Sus scrofa: one gene and its partners. The main gene of each other region encodes a partner of the protein of the gene in region 2 in a complex. Links are inferred from orthologs where the notes say so. Each region holds a gene or a part of one and is shown on either strand. Other genes may lie near its edges. The genes, in order: METTL14, RBM15B and WTAP.

Region 1 (9,518 bases), on a different chromosome or scaffold from region 2:
ATAAATCATACACCTAATGAGGGATTTCTACTAAGAATATATTAAAAACTCTTACAATATAATAATAAAAAAACAAATAACCATTTAAAAAATAAGCAGTTTAGAGACATTTCTCCAAAGTAGGTATTTAAGTGGGAAAATAAGCATATGAAAAGGTTTTTAATATTAGTCACTAAGGAAAAGCAAATCAAAGCCACAATGAAATACTAATTCATAGTGGACGGCTAGAATTAAAAAGACAGATAGTAGAAAGTGTCAAGGATGTGAAGAAACTGGAACCCTCACATATTGTTGGTAGGAATGTAAATGGTCCAGTGCCCTGAAAAACAGTTGAGCAGCTCCTCAAAAAGTAGGAACACAGAATTACCACATGATCCAGCAATTTCACTACCAAACACATACCCAAGAGAAATGAAAGCATACATCCACAAAAAACCTTTATAAGAATATTCATAACAGTAGAGTTTATAATAGTCGAAAAGTGGAAACAACCAAATGAATAGATTAAAAAATGCAGTATGAACATACAGCGGAGTATTATTCGGCAAAAAAAAGAAATAAAGTACTGATACATGTGCAACATCAATGGCACTTGAAAACATTGTTAAGTGAAAAAAGCCTAGTCACAAAATATCACAATGAAGTGATATTACACTTCATTCAATTACATGAAGTGTCTAGAATAGGCAAACCAATAGAGACAAGAGTCAATTAATGGTTACTTAAGGCTGGGGAGCAACTGTGGGAGAAGGAATGGGAACTGACTGCTAGTAACTACTCAGATTCTTTAGGGGAGGTGAAAATATTCTAAGGGTGTGGAGAAAAAGGAACCCTTGTATCCACTGGTGGTAGGACATAAATTGGTAGTCTCTGTGGAAGACAGTATGGAGGGTTCTCAAAAAACTAAAAATAGAGCTACCATATGATCAGCAATTGCACTCAAAGCGTCCATCAACACATAAATGAATAAAGAAGATATGATGTGTGTCTGTGTATATACACAATGGAGTACTACTCAGCCATAAAACAGAATGACATTTTGCCATTTGCGACAATACAGATGGACTTGGAGGGTATTACGCTTAGTGAATTAAGTCAAAGATAAATACTGTGTATTATCACTTATATGTGGAATCTAAAAAATAAAACAAATTAGTGAATATAACAAAAAAGAACGACTCACAGATAGAGAGAATAAAGTAGTGGTTACCATAGGGGAGAAGAAAGTAGGAGAGCCGTATGGGGTAGGGGATTAAGAGGTATAAACTTCTACACATATACTAAGCAACAAAAATATATTGTATAGCAGAGGGAATACAGCCAATATTTTATAATAACTATAATAGAGTATAATCTTTGTACCACTATTGGTACACCTAAAACTTATTTAATACTGTAAATCAACTATACCTCAATTTTTTAAAAAAAATTCTAAGATTGCAGTAACAATTGTATAAACCTGTAGATATATATTTTTTAAAAACTGAATTATATTCTTTAAGTGGGTGAATTGTATGGTACATGAATTATCTCAAACTGTTTTTAAAAATGCAGTCTATTGGCAGACTGGACACAGCTGAGGAAAGAATATGACCTTGATGATATTTCAATAGAAATCTCAAAAAGTGAAAAGTAAAAAAAAAAAAAAATTGGGGAAAAAAAGGCCAGAATATCCAAAGAATATGGGACACCACCTTACAAAAGGTGTAATATGTAATGAAAATATCCAGAAGGAGGAAAAACAGAAAGAGGAACAGAAGAAATATCTGAAACAATAATGACTGAGAATTTCCCCAAATTAATGTCAGACATCAAACCCCAGATTCAAGAAGCTCAGAAAGTACCACAGGATAAATGCCCCCAAACCAAACAAACAAAAGCCAACTATACATATACATATATGTATATGTAAATACACACACACATATATACATATGTATATGCACATACATATTTTTCAAACTACAGAAAATCAAAGACAAAGGAAAAATCCTGAAAGAAACCAGAAAGAAAAAAAAACTACCTATTGAGAACAAAGCTAAGAATTATATCCAAATTCCCAGAAACAAGCAAGAAGTGAAATAAAATATATAAAGTGTTCAAAGAAATAAAACACCAATCTAGAATTCTATATTTTATGAAATTAGTCTTTCAAAAGTAAAGGAGAAATAAAGACTTTCTCAAACAAAAATTGAGTGAACTTGCTGCCAACAGACCTGCCTTACAAGAAATGTTAAAGACAATTCTTTAGAGAAAAGGAAAATAACACAGGTCAGAAAATCAGATCTACATAAAGAAAGAAAGAGCATCAAAGTAGTAAGTGAAGGTAAAATAAAAATAAGGGATAGTCACAGAACCAAAATGAAGGAAAGAAGGAAAAAGGAAAGAAGGAAAAAAGTAACACAGCTTGATAGAAAAAGAGCGTGTACCAGAAGTATTAAGAGTGGAAAGGGGAAGCCAAGCCAGGAAACATCATTTTGTTAGAAATTAACCACAAAATGGATAATTACATGCATGTAATCATGAGCTAGCAACAGCATATTCCCAACGAATCTGACATACCTACATCCCTGATGAAATTCTGAGGTCTATGTCCAGTGTCTACAAAATGTTGGCAGTAATCATTATGGGGATTTAAACTCTGTGTTCCCTAAAGAAAAAGTCAAAATAATTAATGGTAGGTATGCTAACTCTGAACTTTATTTTTTATTATAAGGCCGAACAAAATATAAGTGATAGATTAAAAAAAAAGAAAACATCACCACTAAAATGGTAGTACTACTCTTATCTACAGACACTACTAAAGACAGTACTCTACTTTTAAAGCAAATAATAAAACACAATTTAGCAGTAGTTGCAATAGCCAAAAAAAGTCGCTAACATAGTGTTTATAGTGTGGTAAGCCCTATGTTAAAATGCTTTGCATCCATCAACTCATGTATTATACCTTATTTATCCCATGCTGTAATAAATACCTACTTGGTTTTATTCAAGCCAAGTCTGCATATAATGATTACAGGCACCAATACTACACTTTACTTACCTTAAGAAAAGTACTAGAATCTTTGTAAATTTCTTCTTCATATGGCAAATTCTCTTCCTCTTGTTGCATTTCTAATTCATCCTTGGAAAAGGAAGACAAAGTAGACATTTTATATATAAGAGGAATAGTTTATGTATTATGATATCTTGAATATTAAGACTCCTAAGTATTTTATTTCCCTGAGATACAATAAAATTTTCAAATTACTGTTAAAGTCAAACAGTGAAGGCTTTGATTTATCAACATCAGCTCTAACTAGTTATGTTTATAATAAAATAAAAATTTCCTTTTCATTCTCATCAATAATAAATGTCTTTATTTACCTCAGATATAATACCTTAAACATTAGAATTTAGCTCAAATCAGAAAAGATATGACCACTAATGAGGCAATTTTATTTCTATTAGATCAAACTATACAAAACTGCTATTTTTATATTTTAACAAAAAATGTTAAAATGTTAGGAACTGTATATCATTTGACCTAATCATAAATATTTAAGTTCTATGTTAGTATATATAAAAATGCAACCACCACACGATAGTATTTATTAAATTAGGTGTTATACCTAGAGATTTACTGAAACTATTCTCTTCTCTATTGAATACAACTGTACAACAATTAATTTGAAAAAATGGAGGTAGTTTTTTTGTCCTTGGCTTTCTTTTCAACTAAATATTGCAATTACAAATTTAGAAACTGGGGTTTTTCTTTGGGCCTCTGTCAGAAGTGGTTCTACAATGCCATCTAACCCATGAGGTCTCAAAATATTTTAGTTGTACTATCCTTTATCATTAGCATGGAATAATGCAACTTGAAAAAGCACTGTAGCATCTCGAAATTTGATTCAATTCTGCAAAGTTTCTGATACATCTCCCTTCTTATTTTTATTTTTATTTAAGAATGTTATTGCCTAGTGCTTATTAGGCATTATGCTAAGTACTTTATATACATTGCCGAATTTAACCCACAACCTCTTGTGTTAAAAATAAGAAAACTGATATAAAAGTCTGAATTTACTAATTACATATACTCAGTATTCTGTCAAAATTCAGCTTTTGATAAATTTGTTTTCCTGGGTTAAGAATATATGGATTTCAAACATTTATTTTTATCTTGACCATAAAATTGTTCCATTTTATACTTGCCTTGTATTCTTCTATTTTGTCTTCATCTGTCTCTCCTTCATCTTGATACTTACGTTTTGCATTTGGAGTAGAGGTATCATAAGAAGCCCTGAAAATTAAAACCTAAGTATCACACACAAATATATATAAGATGTATAAATATAGCTACAATAATATTAAGTAACAGGTTATGAAAACAGACAGGGCAAATTTTTCCTAACTAAACAGTATCTATTCACCCCTTTTATAAATCTTAAAAGTATCCAACCTGATTAATAATTCTATATTTTTATGAGAAAGCAATCAAATGAGAAAATAAGCTTTTATAACATGTATAGCAAAAAGAAACTTCTACATTATGTATCATTCCAATCTGTCTTGCAAAATTGATGTTCAAGTTGATAAACTACAATACTGAAAAATTATAAATGCTTTCTGAACTACCAAATGAATACTACCTTTAGGGTAAAATGTGTGTTTTATAATGATTTTTTAAAGTAAAATTATTTATGGTATATAAGCTAATTCTTAGTCTAACATTCTATTTTTAAACTACTTGTAAATGAGAATTATGCTTAGAAAATAAGTATTTCAGGAGTTCCTGTTGTGGCGCAGTGGTTAACAAATCCGACTGGGAACCATGAGGTTGCGGGTTCAATCCCTGCCCTTGCTCAGTGGGTTAACCATCTGGCGTTGCCGTGAGCTGTGGTGTAGGTCGCAGACGCGGCTCGGATCCCGTGTTGCTGTGGCTCTGGCGTAGGCTGGCAGCTACAGCTCCGATTCGACCCCTGGCCTGGGAACCTCCATATGCGGCAGGAGGGGCCCAAGAAATGGCAAAAAGACAAAAAAAAAAAAAAAAAAAAGGAAATATTTCATAATTTATGAACAATAAAATACAATATTTTCCAAATCTCCATGTTAATGCTTATCATAACAACATACTTCATACCTGGGATTACTGTTTATTAATATGTTCCTTTCGCAAATATTAATATGTCACTAACAACAAAAATTATCCACTGACCTGCAAGTTTCTCTTGTTTCAGCAATTTCTCTCTGCTCATCTTTGCTATTTAACACAGCACCAATGCTGTCAGCACTTTCGGCTCCCAACTGGGAAAAGGTAAAAACCAAAAATTAGATCACAATGCACTGAATAGCCTTTTCAGCCATTTGTAGCAGCATTTAATATACCAAGTATTAAAAGAAAATACCTGTAACTACCACAGCAGGCAAATGGACTAATCACCTTGCGGGAAAAACAGAAAATACCTTGGGAAAAAAACCATGTTAATTATGAATGATTTTGACAGCTGAAAAGTATTTTATGCTTTCAGTTACTTTGAAATTAAAACAACTCGAGCCGGTCCTCTACTTTTAAAGCAAATAATAAAACACAATTTAACAGGAGTTGCAATAGCCAAAAAAAGTAGCTAACATACAGGGTTTATAGTGTGGTAGGCACTATGCTAAATGCTTTGCATCTATCAGCTCATGTGCTGTACCTTATTTATCCCCATGATATAATAAATACCTATTCAGTTTTACTCAAGCCAATGCTGTATATAATGATTACAGGTGCCAATACTAATCTTTACAAATACCCAAAAAATAGTAATGCAAGTTCTGGTTGGCAGTTGAGGAAATTTTGCAAAATATAACCTTTCTAAACAAATTACTATTGAGATAAGCCTGGCTACATAGTGAGATCAATTCAGGGAAAACTTTAAAAACCAAACCAAGAAGGGTAGAATGCAATTTACAGATCATGAAGAACCATAATATATATAAGTACAAGAAGGGCATGAGGAAATCATCATTAAATAGCCCCTTAAACTCAAGAAAGATGAGAAGGCGTGCTACAATATTAAAGCTGCAAGTCCCCAGCCTTGATCTTAAACAATTACCACTGCCTCTTCAGACTACCCACTTCATGACTCCCCTAAGGATTCTCCAATGATAAATCTCTTCCAAGATATCAACTGTTCCTGCTATTTCAACTTTCCATAAAATATTCCCGATCACTCTTCTCTTTAGTCAGAAGACACATCTACTTCTCACAGGTAGAATGCTTTCTAACCTTCTTCCCACCTCTGACTCCATTCCCTTCAAATCTCAAAAGAAAACAAATTATTTCCTCAGGTGGTTCTTTCCTGAATACTGTATATAGAATAGGCAGCCTCCTTTCATTATTCTTTTCATCTCCTAATTTCCTCATTCAGATCAAAGCACTTAATACAAACTTTTAGCTTTACTTTTGTTTATTCTTTATTTATATTGAATCACAGTCTCTATCACAACTTTCAATTTTTTTATTGATACACTTCAATTACTTTATCAATTTACTTTTGTTTACTTCTCTCCCAAAGAAATGTTAGCTTACTGAGGAGAACTCTGTCCTATTGAAATCTCTAAGTTCAGCAGCTACTTATAATGTCTGACTTATAGCAGATGCTCAATAAATATGTGAATGAACAAATGAAATTTCCTACCAAGGCCTAAATTAGAATACAATGTTTTACAAGACGAATGCTTTTTTTTTTTTTTGCCTTTTTGCCTTTTCTAGGGCCGCTCCCTCGGTACATGGAGGTTCCCAGGCTAGGGGTCTAATTGGAGCTGTAGCTGCCAGCCTACGCCAGAGCTACAGCAACGCGGGATCCAAGCCACGTCTGCAACCTACACCAGAGCTCACGGCAACGCCGGATCCTTAACCCACTGAGCAAGGGCAGGGATCAAACCCACAACCTCATGGTTCTTGGTCAGACTCGATAACCACTGAGCCACAATGGGAACTCCAAGACGAATGCTTTAAATCAAATTCCGCTCACATATATAATTGTCTTCTCAAACTCCAAATTTTTTTTTAAAAACTGTAATAGAATAACTTAAATAACAGACTTTCCATTGTGGTAACCCTAAATAAATTATTTGAGTAATTACAACAATTTGGTATCATCTGAAAGCAAGTGCAATTTTCTGAAACAAAGCTACAAGTTCAGTAAAAAGCACATGTAAATTGCACATCATTTGCCACAGTCATGGTCTGGGCCTATACACTGCATCCAATATCTTCATCCAGCAGCCAAAAGCAAATCAGGGAAATTATACACATTGAGTTGTACTCTAACAGTTATTAATCAACAAAAATTTATTAAAAGCTTACTTTGGACAAGAAACAAAGTTAGGGTGGAAGATGAACACAACAGGAATTAAATGCACACAAACTGTATTGTGTATGATGGTTAGTTACACACAGTAGTGGACTCAACAGTAAGGACAATGGAAGCTGAGCGAGAAAAGAGCCTAAAACAGGGAGATCAGGATAGATTTCATCAAGTTTGGACCTGGAGTGTGCCACAGTGGATAGAAAGAAATCAGAAAGGAAGGACAATTACTAAAAATCAAGTATATATTGCACAAATCACATTCTGGAGAGTAATAAACCAGTCTGTCTTATTCATACAGAGAAAAGTAAGTGAAAAAGAGGCTGAAATTGGTAAAAGTGGAAGTCTGTCATTGACTACATTGAACATCCTTACCTAAGTGGAATGGTTCCTGTCCAACTACACCAGGAGGCAACTAGGTGTATTGCAAAGGGCATGCAAAGGCCTAAAACTGCATCCTGCAAACTTAAAAGCATTGTGGACTGCAGCATGTAACTAAATTCTTTGAGCTTTATTTTCTTCATCTATAAGGTGCAGACAGCACCTGACTTGTACGATCAAATATAAGTAAAAACTTGGCAGAGTCTTAACAATACAAGGGATTTAATAAATGGCTGCCATTATTAAATTCTGCACACCATGTAAGCTCTTCAAGGGTAAGACTACTTATTATTCATAGTTGAATTCCCAATGTCTACGAGAGCTTCTCGCATATAGTGAGACACTCAAATAACTGTTTATAAATGTATTTTGAATCAAATAGAGGTTTGAATTCAAAACTAAACAGTGGGGGTAATAGAACTACTGATCATTTTTGAAGATAACATGATAAAAAAAAAAAAAACTGGGAAAAGAAAGGCCTGGAAAAGATACCTGATATGTCCAAAATCACAACACCAAAAGGACAGGGACAGATCTGATTCCAAATACCCACTTTTTAAACACTGTACCATAAATCTTTTTAAGACATCATAAAAGAAAAGGTCTCAGATTTCCACTTACTAAAAACAAGATTTATTACTGAAAAAAAATAAGATGCCCTATTAAAGCCTATGAGCATTTCCCCCATCACTTTCACTGATCTGAATGATAGAATGGAAAACACAGCCTCAGACTTAAGTAGCAGTCTATACTTTAAGTAAATGCTAACTTATACACAGGGAGTATGAAGATAAGCTTTGGAGAGACAAACCTGAGTTCAATTTTCTGTCCTAGCGGTGAAAGACCCGGGTCAAAAATGACTTAACCTCTGAAGCTTCTGTTTCATTATCTGTTAAGTGATGATAATACTACCTATTTCAGACGTTTGTGGTGACTGATACAGAGTAAGAATTCAAACATTAGCTGTAGGTGTTGACGAGGTTACCGTACACAGCACAATCGACTGCAACACACAAGATACAGAATCTAAGATTTACACCCAGGCTACTTCCAATGCAATCTTCAGACATCATCCCAGAGAAGATACTGTAAATCTATTTCACAAGGAAGCCACAATCTTAAGAATTAAGCGCTGACTATGAAGAAAGGCAAACAACTGTTTAAGTAGTGAAGAGAAATTTAGGGGAAAACAAGTCACTTTTCATTGCTTGAACTGCGGTAACTTGCACACAAAAACCAAAGCTTTGTATCCCCATCACTGAGCACTGTGCCAGACACTGCGCGGGCCATCAAGTTTGCTGAAGACCACTCAAACGTGGCGTTCGGTTTAGCACCACCACAATGACCTCGCATGGAAAAGATTCGGGGCACCACGTGAGTTGAGAACAAGAGGCAGGCCCAGGGATTAAGGTCATGGGAGCAAAAGGGACTGCACCCCGGAAGGTAAGGAGACAGAAAACGGGGGTTACGGGTGGAGGCAAGAGAGCGGCCGCGCACGCGCATTCGCGACCCCTCCCAGGGCCGCGGACCTGCTGCGCGAGAAGCTGTCGCCGTAACTTCTGCCGTTCCCGGATCTCCTGCAAGCGGCTGTCCATGGCCCAACTCTTGTTTTCCACTACGTCGAAAATTTGGCAATGAGGAGATAAATTCCCCCACCAATCTTTCTTCCGAATGTGTGGAACACAAGATTCTCCAGCAGCTTCCAGCGGCGGGTACCCAATATTCTTTTCCTCAATAGGTATTTCCGGTGCGGTCCGAATTTGCTCCTCCAGACCGGAAGTCCCGCCTCTTCCTGGATGCCTG
Region 2 (9,961 bases):
TGTCGAAGCCCCTGGCCCACCACATCCCTGTGGAGAAGATCTGTGAGAAGCTCAAGAAGAAGGACAGCCAGATCTGTGAGCTAAAGTATGGTGAGTGTGGCCTTATTTAACTAACACTGCACCCCACTCTGCAGTAAAATTAATGAAGTTTACTTTCTAGTTTGGGGAGGCACATGATAAATTAGAGCCTTTTTGAGTGAGATATATGGCATGGTAGGTTGTGCTTAATGGGGGTGAGGAGTTGCATGTATTTGATCATTCATCATGGTGGGTGGAGGTCAGAATAGGCCTCATTGAGGAGGTGACATTTCAGCAAACTTTGAAGGAGGTGAGGGATTTACTAAGGACACAATTAATGGAAGAGCACTTCAGGCAGAGTAAACAGGCAATGTAAAGGCAGCCAGTGGCATGACTCATGGGTGGGCAAGTCACAGGGGGCCTTGCAGATTGCCAGAATTTGGCTTTTAGTTTGAGGAAAGATGGGAATGTTCGTTTTTGAGCAGAGAAGGGGTGTGGTCTGGCTTGGCTTTAACAGGGTGCAAGCTCTGCAGGCCAATGATCTTTATTGCTTTGAAAAGAAAGGCTCTTTCTATGGAGTTCCCGCGGTGGCTCAGTGGTTAACGAATCCGACTAGGAACCATGAGGTTTCGGGTTCAGTCCCTGGCCTCGCTCAGGTGGTTAAGGATCCGGCGTTGCCGTGAGCTGTGGTGTAGGTTGCAGACGCGGCTTGGATCCCTTGTTGCTGTGGCTCTGGTGTAGGCCAGCAGCTACAGCTCCGATTTGACCCCTAGCCTGGGAACCTCCATATGCCGTGGGAGCACCTATTAAAGGCAAAAAGACCAAAGAGGAAAAAAGAAAAAAAAAAAAAAAAAAAAAAAAGGCTGTTTCTCAACGGGCAAGCGCAAGATTATGGGTGCAAGGCATCTCTTTTGCTGAATAAGTCTCTGGTGGGAAAAACACTCTTGGACTTCGGAAAGGAGTCAGGGCCAAGAATAGTTGTCATTTTCGTAAAATTTAAACAGCACCAACAAGAATTCTCTGGTGGATCAATAGGTTAAGGATCTGGCATTGTCACTCTTGTGGCTTGGGTCGCTGCTGTGGCACAGGTTTATCACTGGCCTGTAAAGTTCTCCGAGTGCAGGCATAGCCAAAATAAAAAGTGACTAAACAGCACCAGCACACTTGATTGTGAACTCATTGTCCAAGGGCTGTGTTTGCCCCTTGCCCCCTTGGGTCAAGGATTACTGGTCTTCTGAGAGTGATCCTGGTTCAGTGCTGATGGCTTGCAAGTGGCCATGGGGAGTAAGCTAACTCAAGGGCCTGACCAGGGTCTGTGCTGGGACATTGGAGCTAGGGGATCTATCTGTGCTGTCACCCTGGAGCTCTCATTCTACAGTGATGTGAGCTCTACTATTTAAAAGGCACTTCGAGTGGAAGTCTCATTCCTCTTGTAAAGTTCCTCTTGTCAGGACCATGTGGCCTCTGTCCCTGGTCAACACTGCATGTTTGTGGTAGACATTGCCACCGTGAGACCCACTTTCCTAGTGAAGTGGGGGCAGTGGGCACTGACACACACACCTGCATGTGTTGGCAAGTGTCTCTCCCCATGGGACAAGTAGGGCCACTTGTTTGATGGGATGTTTTCACTGCAGAGGACTATTAGAGTCCATAGTTGCTCCCACCCAGCTGGTTATTCTCCTTGCTCTCTCCTCTAGACAAGCAGATCGACCTGAGCACAGTGGACCTGAAGAAGCTCCGAGTTAAAGAGCTAAAGAAGATCCTAGACGACTGGGGGGAGACGTGCAAAGGCTGTGCAGAAAAGTCTGACTACATCCGGAAGATTAATGAACTGATGCCAAAATATGCCCCCAAGGCAGCCAGTTCACGGACTGATTTGTAGTCTGCCGAATCCCTGCTGCACCTGAGGGGAAAAACAGTTCATCTGTGTCTTCCCCAAACAGCCTTTTTGTAATTTATTTTTTAGGTGGGCTCCTGACAAAGTCAGGTGTGAAGCCTGGAGGAGCTTTCCTGATGATGCTGAGTCTACAGCGCCCCCTTGGAGGGGATTCACTTTGTTCTGTTGCGGGTTTACACTAGGACTTCCAAGTGTGTCTGGAATTTTTTTATTAAAGGAAGAAAATTTCTAGCTGTCCTTGAAGAATTAAAGAGAATACTGAAATAGGGTTTTACCCATAGTGAAGATTTCACCGGTTTGTGCTTTCCAGTTTACAAAGAGTTTTCAGATGCATTCACATTAGTCCTTCAACCATCAGTTAGATACGAGGGTGGGACAGGGGATTGAGGCATGTGGGGTTGTGCAGGACTGGAGGGAGTGCTGGGGAAGAGGTTCAGCTTGATACCCCACCCGGCAGGGACTGTCCTCTTGAGAGGAGCTGATATCTGGGCTCAGCTGAGGGATGTTGAGTGTGGTTTTCTGTGATGATGATTTCAAAAACTGTATGTTCAGCACCATCGCATTTCTAAAGATGCTCATCGCCTGGCTACCTCTACCAGTCACCGGCCAGATGTGGCCATCTACTTGTTCATCTGAGTTTGGTCTAGTGTCAGTCCCATTTGGGATTTTGCAAGTCTGGCAGAGTTGGACTGTACAAAGAGCCAATGAGAGGCTGCTTTTTACCTTTGTTTACCCAAGATAAGCATAACACTTAGGGGTCCTGAGAGTTTGTCCCAGAGTGTCCCCAAGATGGGCTTTTTAGTTGCTCCCTTTGAGGATGGTGCTTAGGAAACCCAGTTGTCAATGTGAGCCTTGACTCACCTCTGAGACCCCTGTTCTCGCACCTCAGGACCACCTGGAGGAAAGGCCTAAGAAGCAGTGCTTTCCAAGGAATTGCCCTGGCCTGGGGTCACAATTGTGCAATTTCTAAATTCAGTTTGCCTACATGAAGTGCCTCTCAGCCTGCTGTGGCATCCACTGATGCTTGTCAACAGCAGGACTGCATTTTCCGCCCTTGCAGCAACATGTCTGAGGAAAGCAAAAAGTTTGAGCCATTTCTCAGGCCAGGTCTTCCAGATTTAGACGAAGTAGATGAGCTGTTAAATCTAACAAGCATAGAGCATCCTGAGGCCCTGAAAGGTGCCAAGGAAGGTCCATGGCTGGAGCCAGAACTCCTACGAGGTGGAGCTGTCTCAGCACCCTAGGTCTGTGTTCCATATCCTCCAGACCACACCAAACGGAAAACAGGCCAATTAACTGCTACCCTCGGGCTGAGCTACAAGTGTCTCTGTCTAGGAAGGGGTTAACTCCTGGAAGCAGATTTCAGAAATGTTACAGGTGTTTCTTCGGAAACATTAACTCTTGGACCTGCCTCAGTTGCTCCGGGAGTTGCTTTCTCTGTGGGAGGAGGGAAGAACCGTGGTGCGTTTTGCTCACTCCATAGTTTCTGTGGCTGAAGTTGGGTCAGGTTCTGCGAACCCTCCAGCAACCCTGCAGAATGAACGCTTCCCCAAGGGGCTTGGATGCTGAGCAGGATTCTCCCTCCCCTCTCCTCGGGAACATATTCCCAGTCATCTCGCCATCTTGGAAGTGGATAGGAGGACGCTGGCCAGTGAAAGGTAAGCATGGCAAGCTGGGTAAGCCCTGGGTTTATTCTCCGCCATTGTTTCCGTGGCCCTGCCCTTACAGCTCTCTTTCTGCTCGAACGCTCAGGGCAGAGGGTGGGGCCCCATGGCACCAAGGAGCCTGGTGCCACTCGGGAAACCGCCGGCATGTCTCAGCTTTCCGTGCCTAGGGCTTCTGCATGCGTGGCCATGCTCCTCATATGGCCTTTCAGAGGCCTGCTGTAGGTGTGCCTGAACGCAGGGGATGCTCAAGATATGGGGCGTGGGTCCTAGGGGGCGGCATGCTTTGGTCCTCAGGGTTGTCCATCCCGGACGACGGTCAGGAGACTCGGGCGAGGTATGGGAGTCACGCAAACCTAGTCTTGGAATTGGGAATATCACGTAAAGAGGCCGCTACTCCCGCTTCCATCCGGCTACCCTGGCCGCCCAGCCCGGAGCCAGAGGCCTAGGTGCAGCAGTGCTCTCGACACGACTATGATTTCCATAGAACTCCGGCCACGCGGTGGCGCCAGAGCTCACTGCCTAGACAAGCTCGCTGGCTTGCAACGGGGATCACGTGGCACGGGGCGGCGCATCCCAATGACGCACACCCGGCGCAGCTCTTGCCCCGCCCGCCTCAGAGTCACGTGGTGCGGGCGGCGCAGCCAGATAACGCGACACCCGGCCCCTGGGCGCCGCTCCCGCCCCGCCCCGCCGCCACCGCCGCGCCGAGTCCTTTTGTCCAAGATGGCGGCGCCGGGGGCGCTGCCTCCTCGGCCGCCGCCGCCGCCGCCGCCGCTGTGAGAGGCCCGCGGGCCGCCCGCCCGCCCGCCGCGCCGGCGCCATGAAGAGGCAGAGCGAGCGAGACTCGAGCCCAGGCGGGCGCGGCTCGTCATCATCGGCCAAGCGACCGCGGGAGCGCGAACGGGAGGCAGAGGCGGGCGGGCGGCGGGCGGCGCACAAGGCCTCGGGCGGCACCAAGCACCCCGTTCCAACGCGGGCCCGCGAGAAACCCCGCGGTAGCGGGGGCGGCGGGGGTGGGCATCGCGACGGCCGCGGCGCCGGGGACGCGAATCATCGTGCGAGCAGCGGCCGCGCCTCGGGTTCGGGCGCCGGCGGCGGGGGACGCGGCGGCAAGGCCTCGGGGGATCCGGGCGCTTCAGGCGCTTCGCCCCGCGCGTCTCCGCTGCCGCCACCTCCCCCGCCGCCCGGGTCCGAGCCCGCGGGTCCCGGCTCTTCCGCGGCCGCACCCGAGTATAAGACGCTGCTCATCAGCAGCTTGAGTCCCGCGCTGCCCGCCGAGCATCTCGAGGACCGGCTCTTCCACCAGTTCAAGCGCTTCGGCGAGATCAGCCTGCGCTTGTCGCACACGCCTGAGCTGGGCCGCGTGGCCTACGTGAACTTCCGGCACCCACAGGACGCACGCGAGGCCCGACAGCACGCCCTGGCCCGCCAGCTGCTGCTCTACGACCGTCCGCTCAAGGTGGAACCCGTGTACCTGCGCGGCGGCGGCGGCGGCGGCGGGAGCAGCCGAAGAAGCAGCAGCAGTAGCGCCGCCGCCTCCACACCGCCCCCGGGGCCGCCCGCGCCGGCCGATCCACTCGGCTACCTCCCGCTGCACGGCGGCTACCAGTACAAGCAGCGTTCGCTGTCACCGGTTGCTGCCCCGCCACTGCGAGAGCCCCGCGCCCGCCACGCCGCCGCAGCCTTTGCCCTGGATGCTGCCGCCGCCGCCGCCGTAGGACTATCCCGGGAGCGGGCCCTGGACTACTACGGGTTGTATGACGACCGCGGACGCCCCTACGGCTACCCGGCCGTGTGCGAGGAGGACCTGATGCCTGAGGACGACCAGCGGGCCACGCGAAACCTCTTCATCGGTAACCTGGACCACAGCGTGTCAGAGGTGGAGCTGAGACGGGCTTTCGAAAAGTATGGCATCATTGAGGAGGTGGTCATCAAGAGACCCGCCCGTGGTCAGGGCGGTGCGTATGCCTTTCTCAAGTTCCAGAACCTGGATATGGCCCATAGAGCTAAGGTGGCCATGTCAGGTCGGGTGATCGGCCGCAACCCCATTAAGATAGGCTACGGCAAGGCGAACCCCACTACTCGCCTCTGGGTGGGTGGCCTGGGACCCAACACCTCACTGGCGGCTCTGGCCCGGGAGTTTGACCGCTTTGGGAGCATACGGACCATTGATCACGTCAAAGGAGATAGCTTTGCTTACATCCAGTACGAGAGCTTGGACGCAGCGCAGGCCGCCTGTGCTAAAATGAGGGGCTTTCCCTTGGGTGGTCCAGACCGCAGGCTGCGGGTGGATTTTGCCAAAGCAGAGGAGACTCGGTATCCCCAGCAGTACCAGCCCTCACCCCTCCCTGTGCATTACGAACTTCTCCCTGATGGATATACCCGTCATCGAAACCTGGATGCCGACCTGCGGGTGCGGGATAGGACCCCCCCACACCTCCTGTACTCGGACCGAGACCGGACCTTCTTGGAAGGGGACTGGACCAGCCCCAGTAAAAGTTCTGACCGCCGGAACAGCCTGGAAGGGTACAGCCGCTCAGTGCGCAGCCGGAGTGGCGAACGCTGGGGAGGAGATGGTGACCGGGGCCTGCCCAAGCCCTGGGAGGAGAGGCGGAAACGGAGAAGCCTTTCCAGTGATCGAGGGAGGACCACCCACTCCCCTTATGAGGAACGGAGCAGGACCAAGGGTGGTGGGCAGCAGGCTGACCGAGGCTCTGACCGTACCCCTGAGCGCAGCCGCAAGGAAAATCACTCCAGTGAAGGGACCAAGGAATTGAGCGGCAACTCCCTCAGCAACAGCAGACATGGGGCTGAGGAGCGGAGCCACCACCACCACCATGAGGCTCCAGACTCTTCCCACGGGAAGAAGACACGAGAGAGCGAGCGCAATCATCGGACCACTGAGGCTGAAACCAAGCCTCTGGAAGAGCCAAAACATGAGACCAAAAAGCTCAAGAATCTTTCAGAGTATGCCCAGACACTGCAGCTGGGTTGGAATGGGCTTCTAGTGTTGAAAAACAGCTGCTTCCCGACATCTATGCACATCCTAGAGGGGGACCAGGGGGTTATCAGCGGTCTCCTCAAAGACCACACTTCTGGGAGTAAGCTGACCCAGCTGAAGATTGCCCAGCGCCTTCGACTGGACCAGCCCAAGCTCGATGAGGTCACACGACGCATCAAGCAGGGGAGCCCCAATGGCTACGCAGTGCTCCTAGCCACCCAGGCGACCCCCAGTGGGCCTGGCACTGAGGGGATGCCCACAGTGGAGCCAGGCCTACAGAGGCGGCTTCTCAGGAACCTGGTCTCCTACTTGAAACAGAAGCAGGCTGCAGGGGTGATCAGCCTGCCAGTAGGTGGGTCCAAAGGCAGAGACAGCACAGGCATGCTCTATGCCTTCCCGCCTTGCGACTTTTCACAGCAGTACCTCCAGTCAGCACTGAGGACATTGGGCAAGCTAGAAGAAGAACACATGGTGATAGTTATAGTAAGAGACACAGCCTAGCCCAAACCTGTCTTTTCCACTCATTTGTGTCACAAAAGCAGTTATTTTAAAATCTGATCCCCCTCCCTTTTTCCCATCTTACCCCTTGGTTTGAATTCTCTGCTGGGTTATTTCAGTTGGTTTGGTAGGGGACCAAAGTCCTGTCCTCCGCCAGAACTAAGTTCTTAGGTTTGGGGGTTTTTTCCTTTTTTTACAGTGATGAGAAGGGACTCCTGTCATGTTGGTTTCTAGTGTATGAAATACTGTCTGCTGTGTTCTGTATTATTTTTTGACTAACTGTATGGAAAGTTGTCAGTAAATACTTTGTCAGAGGATGGATTTTTAATTCTGCTCAGAATCCTGGTTTAATCACAGGGTTTTGTTTTGTTTTGTTTTGTTTTTCCCCCCAAAGAATGGAAAACTTCCCTGCTCCATGCACACAAAGGCCCTTCATCATCTTTGCACCAATGGTGTATCTCAGTCCTCCTGCATTGGTGGCTCTCAGCTCCTCAGCTCTTTGGGCGCTGGACTACATCTGCATTTGTTTTTTATCTTGGCTGAGAGCAGATGGGTTTCATTTTGTACCCAGTCCATGCCGACCAGCGCAGAGCTCATGCACGGGAAGGGTTTGAGTCTGAAGGGTAGCCTGCGGCTGTGGTAGTTTTTAGCTTTTGTTTCCCTGTCCTAAACAATGTGTGTGTATCCATCAGTTTGAGCTGTAGCTACAAAGCACCCATCTTTAGGCCTTTTTGAAAGCAGGTAGTCTTTAGCAGTTGCGTGGTCTTGTCATGGGAGGAGCAGTGCAATATTAATGCCAAGGGGTCTTGGGTGCCATGGATCTGCGCCACCTCCTTCTCTTGTTCAGCCTCCCTTCTAGCCTTAATGCAGCAGCCCGGGGATACCCAATTGGAGACAGCTGCCTCGGACTCCCAGGCACATTGGAAGCCACTTGCTGGAATGGAGAGTAGGCGGCAGCTTTCATGGGTTAATTCTTGAACTTTTCCTGGTGTTTGTGAATTCTGGTTTTTCCTTCAGCTGTTTGGGGCTGATGTGTCAATGGACTGGGCTTCTGCGCAGTCACTGGAGCTTTGTGAGAACACTGAATTGCTGGCCTGAAGAGTTTTTGAGGGAGTCCTGTGGGCTATAGGAAGATGCTCTTGTTAACTGTCGTAACTTTGCCAGGTTCAAGGTGGGAACGCATGCCTTGGCCTCTTGCCCTGATACTGAGGAGGTGGGGACCCCTGGAAGATAGGTGCTTCTGTGGGGAAGTGTCACAGTTGCCGAGGTGTTGGGCAGTGCCAGAGCTCAAAGCCATTCAGGCTGAGCTGGGGAGGAATGTGGAGGCATCCTCAAGCTGGGAGGGAGAAATGGTTTCAGAGAAGTCTCACGTTCTTTGGCCACTTGTCTCTGCTGAGGGTATGACCAGCATTGGCCGATAAAGCCAGCAGTGTCAGGGACCAGAGAGGGAAATCAGTCACACAACAATTGTCACAAGAGAACATAGCTCAAACACCATTTTCCAGAATGTTTGTGGCAGTTGAGATGTTCCAAAAGATGTTCCAACTTGTTCACAGTCAAGGTTGAAGGAGAGCAGGAGCTCCAGTAAAGGAAATGAGTCCCAAGTGACCAGGAGCTCTGGGTTCTGTTGGTCCTGCCGTCCTCTCTGGGTCTGGTCCACCACCCTGGCTGGCACGAGGCAGCACGGGTGACAGCTGGGATGTTTTGAGAGTTTGTAAGGTAGAGGCAGGGCCTCAGTGTGCATTCATGGAGGATATGTACCTTTCCACAGGACAATGAAAGAGGTGACTTTTCCAGACCTTAATAATTGAAGCAGGAAAAGGAAGGGGCCTGGGAAGTACTCCTTGGGCTTCAGCTGATGCTCATGAGAGAACAAGCATGTTCCTAACAGAACATTTAACACAGGGAAGTGTTAGATGTGCTTGTCTGTTTGTACTTGAGCTTTGGTCACCACTGCCAGGTATCTGAGCAAAGCAGTGCAGGGCACAGGCCGCAGCTGCACCATTCCAGGCATTGGCACCACCAGAAGCAGGAGTGGGCCTCATCTTGTGTAGAGCAGATGAGGCAGAGGTGAAGGCACACTACCAAATGTCTGGGTCACTGGCCAGAGCTGCCAAGCTCTGTTTAAGCCCCAAACTTTTCTGGGCTCTTCCTTTATAGAGTGGGTGCTTGGGCCCCAGAGTACTATGCCTCCCAGCCTGTCTAGACAGAAACCTGCTGGGTAACCTGGTTGGAGAAGACACTTAAACCCTTGCTTTATTCACCGTTCTTCAGGGATAGGTGCTCTCCAGCCCCAGAATGAATGACTGTTTTGGCGAAGAACCACACCCCGCTGTCTGACCATCCTCCTCTTCCCTGGACCCTCTTCTCAACTCCTTTCTTCTGCTCTTAAGACACAGCAGATTCTGTAACAGTCTCTCAGAACGGCCTTGGCCAGCACCAGCAAGGGTAGGTCGCGTGGTCAAGGCCCTGGCTGGGTGATGGTGCTGCTGCCCCCGAGAGAGAATGATGTGGCTGCAGGCATCCAGTGCCGCCTCCGGGGGTTCAGGTCCTAGCTGAGATGTGGCTTAAAGGCAAAATTTGTCCCACTGGTGGTTTGCTACTGTTCTACATGTTTCTTCCTCAGTGACTCAGATTCTGAGCCCTGGCAGAGTAAGAAAGGGCTGATGTTTCCGTAACCTCTTCGGGCACTTCCCTAAGGGTGTGTTGTCAAGTCAACCAGGATTCTGCTTCCTATTAGAGGTCCCCATCTCCACCTGAGAGACCTGCAGTGCTCCCAGGAGCAGCTGGCAGAGTTCAGGGAGACAGTGGCTTGCTTGAGTTAATAATTAGAATACAATGCTTTTAGTACTGCTTGACTTTAACCTGTTTTCTTCTAGT
Region 3 (10,280 bases), on a different chromosome or scaffold from region 2:
GACTGGGAGTTTGGGGTCAACAGATGCAAACTATCACATTTAGAATGGATAAGCAATGAAGTCCTGCTGTATAGCACTGGGACCTATATCCAACCACTTGTAACAGATCATGATAGAATATAATATGAGAAGTGTGTGCATACATATACATATGACTGGGTCACTTTCCTGTACAGCAGAAAGTGATACAACACTGTAAATCAACTATACTTTAAAAATATTTTGGAGTTCCCGTTGTGGCTCAGTGGTTAACGAATCCGACTGGGAACCATGAGGTTGTGGGTGTGATCCCTGGTCTTGCTCAGTGGGTTAAGGATCCAGTGTTCCCATGAGCTGTGGTATAGGTCACAGATGTGGCTTGGATCTGGCACTGCTGTGTCTGTGGTGTAGGCCGGCGGCTACAGCTCCGATTAGACCCCTAGCCTGGGAACCTCCATATGCCTCGGGAGCGGCCCTAGAAACGGCTAAATGGCAAAAAGACAAAAAAACAAAAATCGTTCTTTTTTTGGCTGCGGTGTGCACATCTTGATGTGGGAATCTCAGTTTCCAGACTAGGGACTGAACCTGGGCCGCAGAAGTGAAAGCCTAACCACTAGACTACCAAAGAACCCGTAAAAATCTGTATTCTTTAAATTGGTCTTTGTCTACTTTAGGCCCCCAATTACCCAGCTTATACTCTCTGCTGCAAGTTAGAGACAGCTGCTTAGTGACTATCCCAAGCAGTTCCAATAGTAAATCCAATCATTTAGGAAGCAAACTCTCACCATATTTATCTCCAGAGGCCTACTTCCATTTTAGCTTTTTTTTTTTTTGGTATTTTTTTTGGCCGTGCGCATGGCATATGGAAGTTCCTGGGCCAGTGATGGAACCTGCACCACAGCAGCAACCTGAGCAGCTACAGAGACAATGTCAGATCTTTAACCAGCTGTGCCATAGCAGGAACTCCAATATTACCATGGTTTTAATGTGAGTTCACTCCACTAGGCTGCAACCTTTTGGAATCCACAATCAAGTGTGATGTTTCCTTGAACTTCCCATTTGCCTAGAGCTAAATATAGGAGAAAGATAATGTATTTAATTAAAAACAAACTACAAGAAATAATTTTGCCATTGACTCAAAAATTGTGCATACCAATTCCTTGCTATCCCTTTTATTTTTTTCTCAACTCTTCCCATGACCTGACATTTTATTTTATTTTGCTTTTTAGGGCCACACCCACAGGATATGGAAGTTCCCAGGCTAGGGGTTGACTTGGAGCTGCAGTTGCTGGCCTACACCACAGGCTATGGCAACATCAGATCCTTAACCCACTGAGCCAGGCCAGGGGTTGAATCTGCATCCTCATGGATACTAGCTGGGTTCGTTACCGTTGCGCCACAACAGGAACTCCAACCTGACATTTTATATACCTAGCTGTTCTTCCCAGTTATAAGCTCCATGAAAGAATCAGTCACTGCTGCTGCCACAGTACATATAGTAGGCATTAAAATACACCATAGGAGTTCCCGTCGTGGCACAGTGGTTAATCCGACTAGGAACCATGAGGTCTCGGGTTCGCTCCCTGCCCTTGCTCAGTGGGTTAACGATCCGGTGTTGCCGTGAGCTGTGCAGACAAGCAGCTCGGATCCTGTGTTGCTGTGGCTCTGGCGTAGGTCAGTGGCTACAGCTCCGATTCGACCCCTAGCCTGGGAACCTCCATAAGCCGCAGGAGCAGCCCAAAGAAATAGCAAAAAGACCAAAAAAAAAAACAAACACCGTAAATGCAAAGTATGACAAATGAATTTGTTTCGGTTACTATTCAAACCGTAAAAGTGAGGAGTACCCCATGTGGCACAGGGGAAATGAGACTAGTATCCACAAAAAACAAACAACAAAACCCACAAAACCTCTTGAGTATCATAGATAATATTTAATATAAACTCATTTTAAAAACTAGTACATGTTTCTACAACCTGACACCTCCCCCCAGGTTTATTTGTTCATTCTTTTCTTAATATATACTTATACAGATTCTTAAAAGAGTATTAAAATAAACCTAATTGCAACTTTAATTAGCAGTAAATCAGCTAAACTGTTTTTAAAGGGTATTTGAAGGACTGGGAAACACATAAAGAAGTTCAAATAACCCTGCTTTTCTAGAAGGTGGCAAACTGTGAAAACAAAAAAAGCAGGAGAACCTCTGAGCCTCAGTTTCCCCATTTTAAAAAGGATTACCACCAGCATAGCTCCAAATTATTGTGCTATTTTTGAAAATAAATATTAGCCTTTTGGCATAGTGACTGACACAAAGTAAGCATTTTATTATTAGTTTCCCTCTTCCCATTAGGGAATAAAGAAAAAAACCACCATAAAAAATAAGGATGCTCAATCATACTTCATAAAGAATCTGAAGAGAGAATTCACAAATTGAGGATAAGAATCTTAACATGTTCCTGTTTTTGTTTCTAAGCCCCACTGCAGAATTCTTGGTGACCCCCCCCCCAATTTTCAGAATTCTTAACAGCAGGTTATTTACATTTTTAGCCATAGCTTACTCTCTTTTGAAAAGTTTGATGCTGGGTAGACTTCAATTACACATTGCTTAGAGGATATCTAGATTTTCTTCATAAAAACAAACATCTAAATGTGTAATGTTAAGTCGGGGTAAATACGAGTTTCGTATATATATTTGCATTTCATATGTTGGCTCTCAATCACATGTCATTCCACCTTATGGAATATGTAACTTAGGAAATCAAAGCATAAGCATTTAGAAAAAATTCCCTCATCTTTAGCTGATGAAAAGTCAATCTTTGCTTGAGATTCCATGACGTGCCACAGTAGTGAAATGGACAGTGCGGCAAAAGGCAAATTAGAACAGCCTTAAAATTTGAAAACACCAACATTCAAACTATTTATTCAAAATAGAACCTGATCCTCAATTCTGCCTTTGACACTGCACATGTGCTATGCAATTTATTACTTTTCAAGGCCATTTTAAAAAAGCACAATTGACAAGCACAATAACCACTTAAAGTCAATTCTAGATTCATAAAGAGCATGTATATTGCAGGTTCTTAGAACAGTCTAGTCTCATATCAGAAAAACAGAGTAACTGAATTATCATTTGGAGTTGAACCTTAAATCTTGAAGGGAAAAAAATGAATATATACCTACTGCTATGAGTCACTTATTTAATAACCATAACTTTTCAAAGTTAGTCCCCATTTTCCAGATGATGAAGAGTTATGAGTCAGATTAAAACAACTATTAATCTAAAATAGGGAGTTAGGACCCCAAACTCAGTGCCTCTTAAAAGCTGGTAATGATGAAGATGGACCATTCTCCCACCCCTCCATCCTCAACAATGATTAAGCTTAGCTAGCTAAAGTAGAGAACGGAAAAAAGCAAGAGAAAAAAAATAAAAACCGGCAAATCTGGCTACCTTTTAGCAAGCTTAAGAAGACTGGTTAAAATACTATTTTATGTTGTATGTAAAAGTTTGTTATCCACGTCAAGAACTCAGAAATAATATAGTTCTCGTGTTTAGAATGTCAGAATCTACTCTTGATGCTTTACACTGACAGACAGCTTTGGCTGGAGAACTCAGTTTTGGCTGGCTAGGTGTCTAGCATCCCAGATTCCAGTACTTCCCTGGCTCTTGGTGTCGTAAGTTCTCCCTTAACAGAGCATCACGCACTAGCCCACACAACTTCAGTAAGAAAGCATGTACCTCGCTGAAACTAATCATAATCCAACTTAAGGAACTAATCTGACACTGTAAAGTCTACTAGTGAGGAACTGGAAGACCAGCTTGTCTTGACTATGTAGCAGCAAGCCACTACTTGGACTGCAGTCTCCCAATCAGCAAGAAGAGGATACCAATTTTCCCTGCTTTGCAAAGTGCCGCACATCTCAATGCTTCAAGTGCCATAAAGATGCCATACAAACAAAAAAAATTCAAATTTAAATACTAACATTAACATAAAAGAGAACTTTAATGTGCTTTTAGGAAAGATTAAATTCCACCAACTATATTTCAAGACTTGAGAACATTTACTTATAGCACTGGTTCTAACCTGATGCACCACCTTTATATCCAATGAGATACACTGTTATAAGAATCGAAGTTTTGCTCTGACAAGCTTGGCAGAAAATATTTAGAGGCAGAAGAGTGAGTGATAATAAAAAACAAGAATAAACCAAATGAACACTATCTAGGTCTTGTTTTGCCAAAGGATCCCACAAATTTTTAGGAGCAAGGAACATTTTTTTCAGAAGTGAGATAATGTACAATTATATGAAAATGATCAACAAGACATCTAAAAAAATGTTGTCTAGGGTATTCCAGTCTACATATATACACACAAAACTGTAAGGGACCCTGAAAACTAATAACTTCATAATTATTAGCTTTCAGAGCTAATAACTTCTAATAACTTGTATTACTGCAACTGTCATCTCCACGTCATAACGCTGCCATGGGTTTTCTACACTATACTAACTCATTTCTGGCAAATACACAAAATTCAACCAGAAATCTAGATATTATTAAGTTTCATAGATGAGCTAAGTAAAAAACAGCAGTGCCTGGGACACACTTATTATTACTTTTGTCCTTCTGGACTTCGAAATTGCCTGAGTTCCACCACTGAGAAGTGAAAATACTGATCACTTAACTACAGCCATCTGCTTAAAATAATGCAAGATTTGAAAGAACTCAAGGAATACAGCCACCCAAACCCTTAAAATCGAACCCCATCTTTATCACAAGTCCCAATTTCTTTAAATTTTTTTTGTTTTTGTCAAATTTTTTGTCTTTTAGTCTAAAATTTTTATTATAGTTAATTTACAATGTTCTGTCAACTTGTATTGTTCAGCAAAGGGACCCAGTTATTTATATATATATATACATACACACACACTTTTTCTCACATTGCCCTGCATTGGGTTCCACTACAAGTGATTAGATACAGCTCCCTGTGTATACAGCAAGATCTTTCCCAATTTCTAATGCTCGTGATTTCTTTTCCCAACTTGCCTAATCGGACGCTACTGAATGACAGGTGTAAATAAATAAAATGCAGGCATCTTGCAATTTTTTAACAGAGCTTTAAATACCTCTATGTTTATGTCACAGAAACCTTAACAGTCAAAATTTTAAAATAAAAAACTCAGTGGATAATCACTTCCACTGTACGCCTGACACTCATGTAACATTGTAAATCAACAATTCAAGTTTTCTTTAAAAGTGCAAAAAACCCGCTTAGAACTTGGGGTGAAAGACCTGTGACTTCCACTTTTCTTCTTCAGCAATGGAATTAATTAAATTCTGAGATGGAAAACGAGAGGAGCAACTCAGGACTGTAACATACCCATGGAAGTATTTTTCTATCTCGGGCAAAAGAACAGTTTCCTACTTCACAATCAGGGTTCCTTAGGATTTTCACATAGTCCTTTGGGATCAAACAGCCAAGTGACTTCATCAAAACAAGAACCTGGACTTTCCCACTGAGGTGTTCCCCACTGACTAGAGAAACAGGGTTCTAAGAAATTAAAAACAGCTTTATAGGAATCCAAGACGAGAGTTTAAAATGCTATGAAGATCTCGGGCTCAAAAGAGCATGTATTTTAAAAACCACGATGCGTGCAATCATTTGAAAATGGAAGTCCACAAGAAAACGCAGCGGCGGTAATACCCCACTGCGCGACGTGAAATTCGGTCAACGAACGCTGCTTTCCCTCCCCTGCTGAGCTCGTGGGTGCCGCCAGACCGCGGGATCCGCTCGAAAGGAGGTGGGCGCCGGCGGCACCGAGGCGGGGACGGGACGCGCGCCGAGGGGGCGGCCTCCCGGTGCCGCCGGCCCGCGGGAGCGCCCACCTCGCCCTCGGGCCCGGAGACGGAGAGCGAAGGTAAAATGGCCTCGGGGCGGCGGAAGTGTGCCCGCAGCAGGAAGGCGGCGCGGCTAACGGGAGGCTGGCGGGCCCGGGGACCCCGAGTCGCCCTCCGTGCCCTGTCCGCCCCTTTGCCGGGCCAGGCGGCCGCGCCTCAGCCCCGGGGACCCTGAGGTCCTCGCCGCCGCTCTGGCCGGGGCCCGGCCCGCACCTACCTCTCCGGACGGAGGCCGCGCGGGCGCCGCCCAGTCACATAGGCCGACCGCGCGCCGCCGCTCGCTGCCCGGGCCGCCCGACCGCGCTGCCGCCGGCCCCCGCGCGCCTCCTCCCGCCGCAGCCCTGGCGCTCCCCTTTATTTGCGGGTCTCGCTGCCACAAAATGGCGCTGAGGGAGGAAGCGAGGCCCCGTCGCCCCACCCCCTTCCCCGCTCCTCCCGCCGCGCCGCCCCGCCCCGCGCCGCCGCCGCCGCCGGCGCCCGCCCTTCTCCATCCCGCCATGTTCGCGCTCGGCCCGCTCACCGACGAGTCACCTCCCGGACGCGGACGCAGCGACCCGCCCGCCAGGCCCCGCCGCGGAGAGGAAAGACGAATGGAAGGCGCCCGCTGGGGGCCTCGAGGCGCTCGGGGAGGAGCTGCGCCTAGTGGCACGGCCCGCGGCCGCCCCAGCGCTTCCAGCTCGGCGGGGGCGGGGAGGGAAGCGGGCCGCGGGGAGGGGTGAGCCGCGAGGTCGCAGGTCAGCCGCGGGGCATCACGGGAAGGCCGGCGGGGGTCGCGCTCGGTGGCGCTGGTTGGACGCGCTCGCTGGGCCACCTGCGGCTGCAGCGCGGCCTCTGGCGGAGGAATCTGGGCGAAGGCGGCGCGTGATTGGCCGCGTCTTGGTGCAGCTCCCAGCCGTGGTGCTTCCGCGTGCTGGCGGCCAGGTGCGACCTCGGCAGCGGGCCGTGGGCTGGGCGGCTGGGCAGTGTGGACTCCGCGAGGCCTCACTAGGTTTTGAGAATTTAGAAACCGGGGCTCCCTCTTTCTTCGGGAAGGACGGCCTCTTGGACGCTTGGTTTGTCCCCGCCTTGACATCTCGAGGCGCAACCGGGGAGCTATTGTTGTCTAGCGGAGAGGTTGTGCGTATGTCAGCAGCCCTAGGGGCACCTTGGTCATCCAGAAACAAGGGACCGGAGAACCTTGGAAGGTTTTTGAACCTAGTAATGTAAGTTTTAAAATTTGAATATATTCAGGTAATTCTTTTAATTTGGCTGGTATTATCTAGCCTTACCCAAACCATTTATCCTCAGGACGTGTGCTGGAATGAGATAATCTATAAGGATAGTATTAAAGTGTGTTCAAAGACCAAAATCCGAAGAGAAAAATGGGCAAGGCATGAATAGACATTTCACACCAAAGAACAGCAATGATCCTTAAATATGAACGGTTGTTTGTCCTCGCGCGTAATGGAAATGCACATTGGAATTCTACGAATAAACCGTGCTCATTAACCTTCTGGTAGGAATTGGAAAGTGATTCAAGCCCTATGGAGTACCAAGATTATATATGCACTTATTCACATGTCTTGCAAATTCCACCTCTAACCCTAACCTGATTCTGAAAATACATCCTCACATACAGAAATAACATGTAGGCAAGGTTTCTTGTTGCACTGTCCTCACAGAAGTTTAGAAATCGGAGTTCCTGTTGTGGCTCAGCGGTTAACAAACCCAACTAACATCCATGGGTTCGATCCCTGGCCTCCCTCAGTGGGTTATGGATCTGGCGTTGCTGTGGCTGTGGTGTAGGCCGGCAGCTACAGCTCTGATTTGACCCCTACCCTGGGAACCTCCGCATGCTGCGGGTGCAGACCTAGAAAGACCAAAAAAAAGAGAAAAAGAAATAACCCATATGTCCGTTAGTAGGGAACTGGCTATACATGATCCATCCCTACCATGGGGTATGGGATACAGTACAACCATAAAGTATGAGGATAATATTTATGTGTTGCTATGAAATGCATCCCAACCTATATGGAAAATTGGAAGCATATCTTAGAAACAGTAAAAATGGTCATTCATCTAGGAGTTCCTGCTGTGGTGAAACTGGCAAAGGTTGGGGGGGGCATCATGGGAGCATCGTGTGGCAGGTTTGGTCCCTGGCCCCTCACAGTGGGTTAAAGTTCCAGTGTTGCCGAAGTTGCAGCAGCTCAGGAACTCCATATGCTGTGGGGTGGCCAAAAGTGGAAAAGAAAGAAAGAAAGAAAAATAAGTGGTTATCTGCGGAAGTTCCCATGTGGCTCCGCAGGTTAAATGTCCGGTGTCGTCACTGCGGTGGCTCAGGTTGCTGCTGTGGCATGGGTTTGATCTCTGGCCCCTGAATTTTGCATGCTGTGGGGACGGGACAAAAGGGGGTTACATATAGAGGGTGGTGGAGGAGAAAGAAAAGCAACACTTTTTCTGAATTTGAACTTTTAAAGTTTTATATAGCAGAGAAAGTAAATTTAAAAGGAAGCAAAAGTTGATAGCAAATTAAGCTTAACTCTGAGTCACATTGGTAGCGTAACTGTGTTGTTACACAGAGAAAAGGATTATTTCCCCAGGACTTTTGGACAGGGTACTCTAAGAGAATTATCTGGTGGGATATAGTCTAAGGATGAGAAAGAAGTGCAAAGGAATCTTTAGCTTCACTCTGTTTTATAATTAATGGTAGTAGTATTGTTGCTGTGGCTTTGAAACTATGTGTATTGTAGGATAATGCAAATAATTTAATTTTATTTTCTTTTTATGGTTGCCCCCAGTGACATATGGACATTCCTGGGCTAGAGCCTGAATCAGAGCTGCAGCTGCCAGCTGATGCCACCACATCAGATTTGCTGTTGCCACACTTGTGACCTTCACCACAGCCTCTGGCCATGCCAGATCCTTAACCCACTGAGCGAGGCCAGAGATTGAACCCGAATCCTCATGGATACTAGTTGGGTTCTTAACCTGCTGAGCCACAATGGGAACTCCTTAGTGTTTTAAAGTACAAGACTTTCAGTGTAAGAGAAATGAGGTATAAATAGAAAATCAAGGAAGTTCAGGAAAAAAATCCGTCATACCTTTGAATTGGATATATCAATTTGCGCACACGATTTTAAAAGTAAATGTCCTAGGTCTGTGCCCCATAAGGGCCTAGAAGCACTAGGATGGTGACCACTTGTCCCAATTTGCCAGGGACTGAGGATTTCCACAGATGCTATTGTGTTAAAACTGAAAGTGGGAGTTCCCATCGTGGCTCAGTGGTTAACGAACCTGACTAGTATCCTTGAGGACGCGGGTTCAATCCCTGGCTCTGCTCAGTGGGTTAAGGATCTGGCATTGCTGTAAGCTGTGGTGTAGGTTGAAGACTCGGCTGTGGTGTTGACCGGCAGCTACAGCTCCGATTTGACCCCTAGCCTTGGAACCTGCATATGCTGCAGGTGTGGCCCTAAAAAGACCTAAGACAAAAAAAACAAAACACAAAACTCGGAAGTGTTCCAGACAAACCGGGATGGCTGGTCACCTTGACAGTAACAGTGGCAGTACACCTGGCGTCCAGCTCATGACTCCTAAGTTCCATTCTCACAAAATAGAGCCAGAGCTCCTCAGAGAAGTGTCTAGTTCCAGTTCTGGGTCAGGGAAAGCACAGGGTGAAATAGACGTTTTGTTGTGCCTGGGTGCAAAGGAAGTGCTTAGGCTGATGCAGATATGTCAGCAGGACTCGGGAGAGCAGGCAAGACTAATCTTCAGGGAGAGAAGTCAAATCCGTGCTTGGCTCTGAGTGCAGAAGAGCAGGAATCAGTTGGAAAGGAACCTGGGGAACTTTGGGGGGGAGGTTGATGAAAATATTCCACATTATGGGAGTTCCCGTTGTGCCTCAGCAGAAACGAATCTGACTAGTATCCACAAGGATGGAGGTTCGATCCCTGGCTTCGCTCAGTGGGTTAAGGATTTGGCGGTGCCTTGAGCTATGGTGTAGGTTGCAGATCTGGCATTGTTGTGGCTGTGGTGTAGGCCGGTAGCTCCGATTTGACCCCTTGTCTGGGAACCTCCATATGCCGCAGCCCTCAAAAGCAAAAAAAGAAAGAAAATATCCCACGTTATGATTAGAGTGATGGTTACCCAGTAGATACATTTGTCAATATTCATCCCAAAAAGAAAAATGAGTTATTTTGTGGTGCAGTGGATTAAGGATCCGTATTGTCACTGTAGTGGCCTGGGTTGCTGCTGTGGCGAAGGTTCCATCCCTGGCCCAGGAACTTCCACGTGCATAGCAAGGCCAGAAAAAAAAAAATCCAGGAGTACCACTAAAATGAGTGAGCTTAATGTGAATTATTCCTCATGTATGTGATACCTTTATTGTATATGTCATTAATTTTATCCTCATGTGTATGTAAATTATACCTC

The links.
Region 1: RBM15B (region 2) and METTL14 share a complex: the UniProt entries of both Homo sapiens proteins name them as parts of the WMM complex. The link is inferred for Sus scrofa from reciprocal best matches to the Homo sapiens genes RBM15B and METTL14.
Region 3: RBM15B (region 2) and WTAP share a complex: the UniProt entries of both Homo sapiens proteins name them as parts of the WMM complex. The link is inferred for Sus scrofa from reciprocal best matches to the Homo sapiens genes RBM15B and WTAP.

The regions. Positions count from the first base shown.
Region 1 is NC_010450.4:105,044,113-105,053,630, forward strand, and holds the start of METTL14 (N6-adenosine-methyltransferase subunit METTL14), read right to left. Parts: upstream 9,492-9,518; 5' UTR 9,311-9,491; coding exon 9,245-9,310; intron 5,284-9,244; coding exon 5,195-5,283; intron 4,280-5,194; coding exon 4,192-4,279; intron 3,125-4,191; coding exon 3,044-3,124; intron 2,651-3,043; coding exon 2,563-2,650; intron 1-2,562. UniProt on the Homo sapiens protein: The METTL3-METTL14 heterodimer forms a N6-methyltransferase complex that methylates adenosine residues at the N(6) position of some mRNAs and regulates the circadian clock, differentiation of embryonic stem cells and cortical neurogenesis.
Region 2 is NC_010455.5:33,660,070-33,670,030, forward strand, and holds the start of RBM15B (putative RNA-binding protein 15B), read left to right. Parts: upstream 1-4,317; 5' UTR 4,318-4,402; coding exon 4,403-7,084; 3' UTR 7,085-9,961. Other genes in the region: MANF (mesencephalic astrocyte-derived neurotrophic factor precursor), read left to right, coding at 1-90, 1,716-1,900. UniProt on the Homo sapiens protein: RNA-binding protein that acts as a key regulator of N6-methyladenosine (m6A) methylation of RNAs, thereby regulating different processes, such as alternative splicing of mRNAs and X chromosome inactivation mediated by Xist RNA.
Region 3 is NC_010443.5:7,645,017-7,655,296, forward strand, and holds the start of WTAP (pre-mRNA-splicing regulator WTAP), read right to left. Parts: upstream 6,257-10,280; 5' UTR 6,192-6,256; coding exon of another isoform or gene 6,019-6,191; intron 5,919-6,018; coding exon of another isoform or gene 5,753-5,918; intron 5,628-5,752; coding exon of another isoform or gene 5,624-5,627; intron 1-5,623. Other genes in the region: uncharacterized protein LOC102157641, read left to right, coding at 5,624-5,627, 5,753-5,918, 6,019-6,191, 6,265-7,075. UniProt on the Homo sapiens protein: Associated component of the WMM complex, a complex that mediates N6-methyladenosine (m6A) methylation of RNAs, a modification that plays a role in the efficiency of mRNA splicing and RNA processing.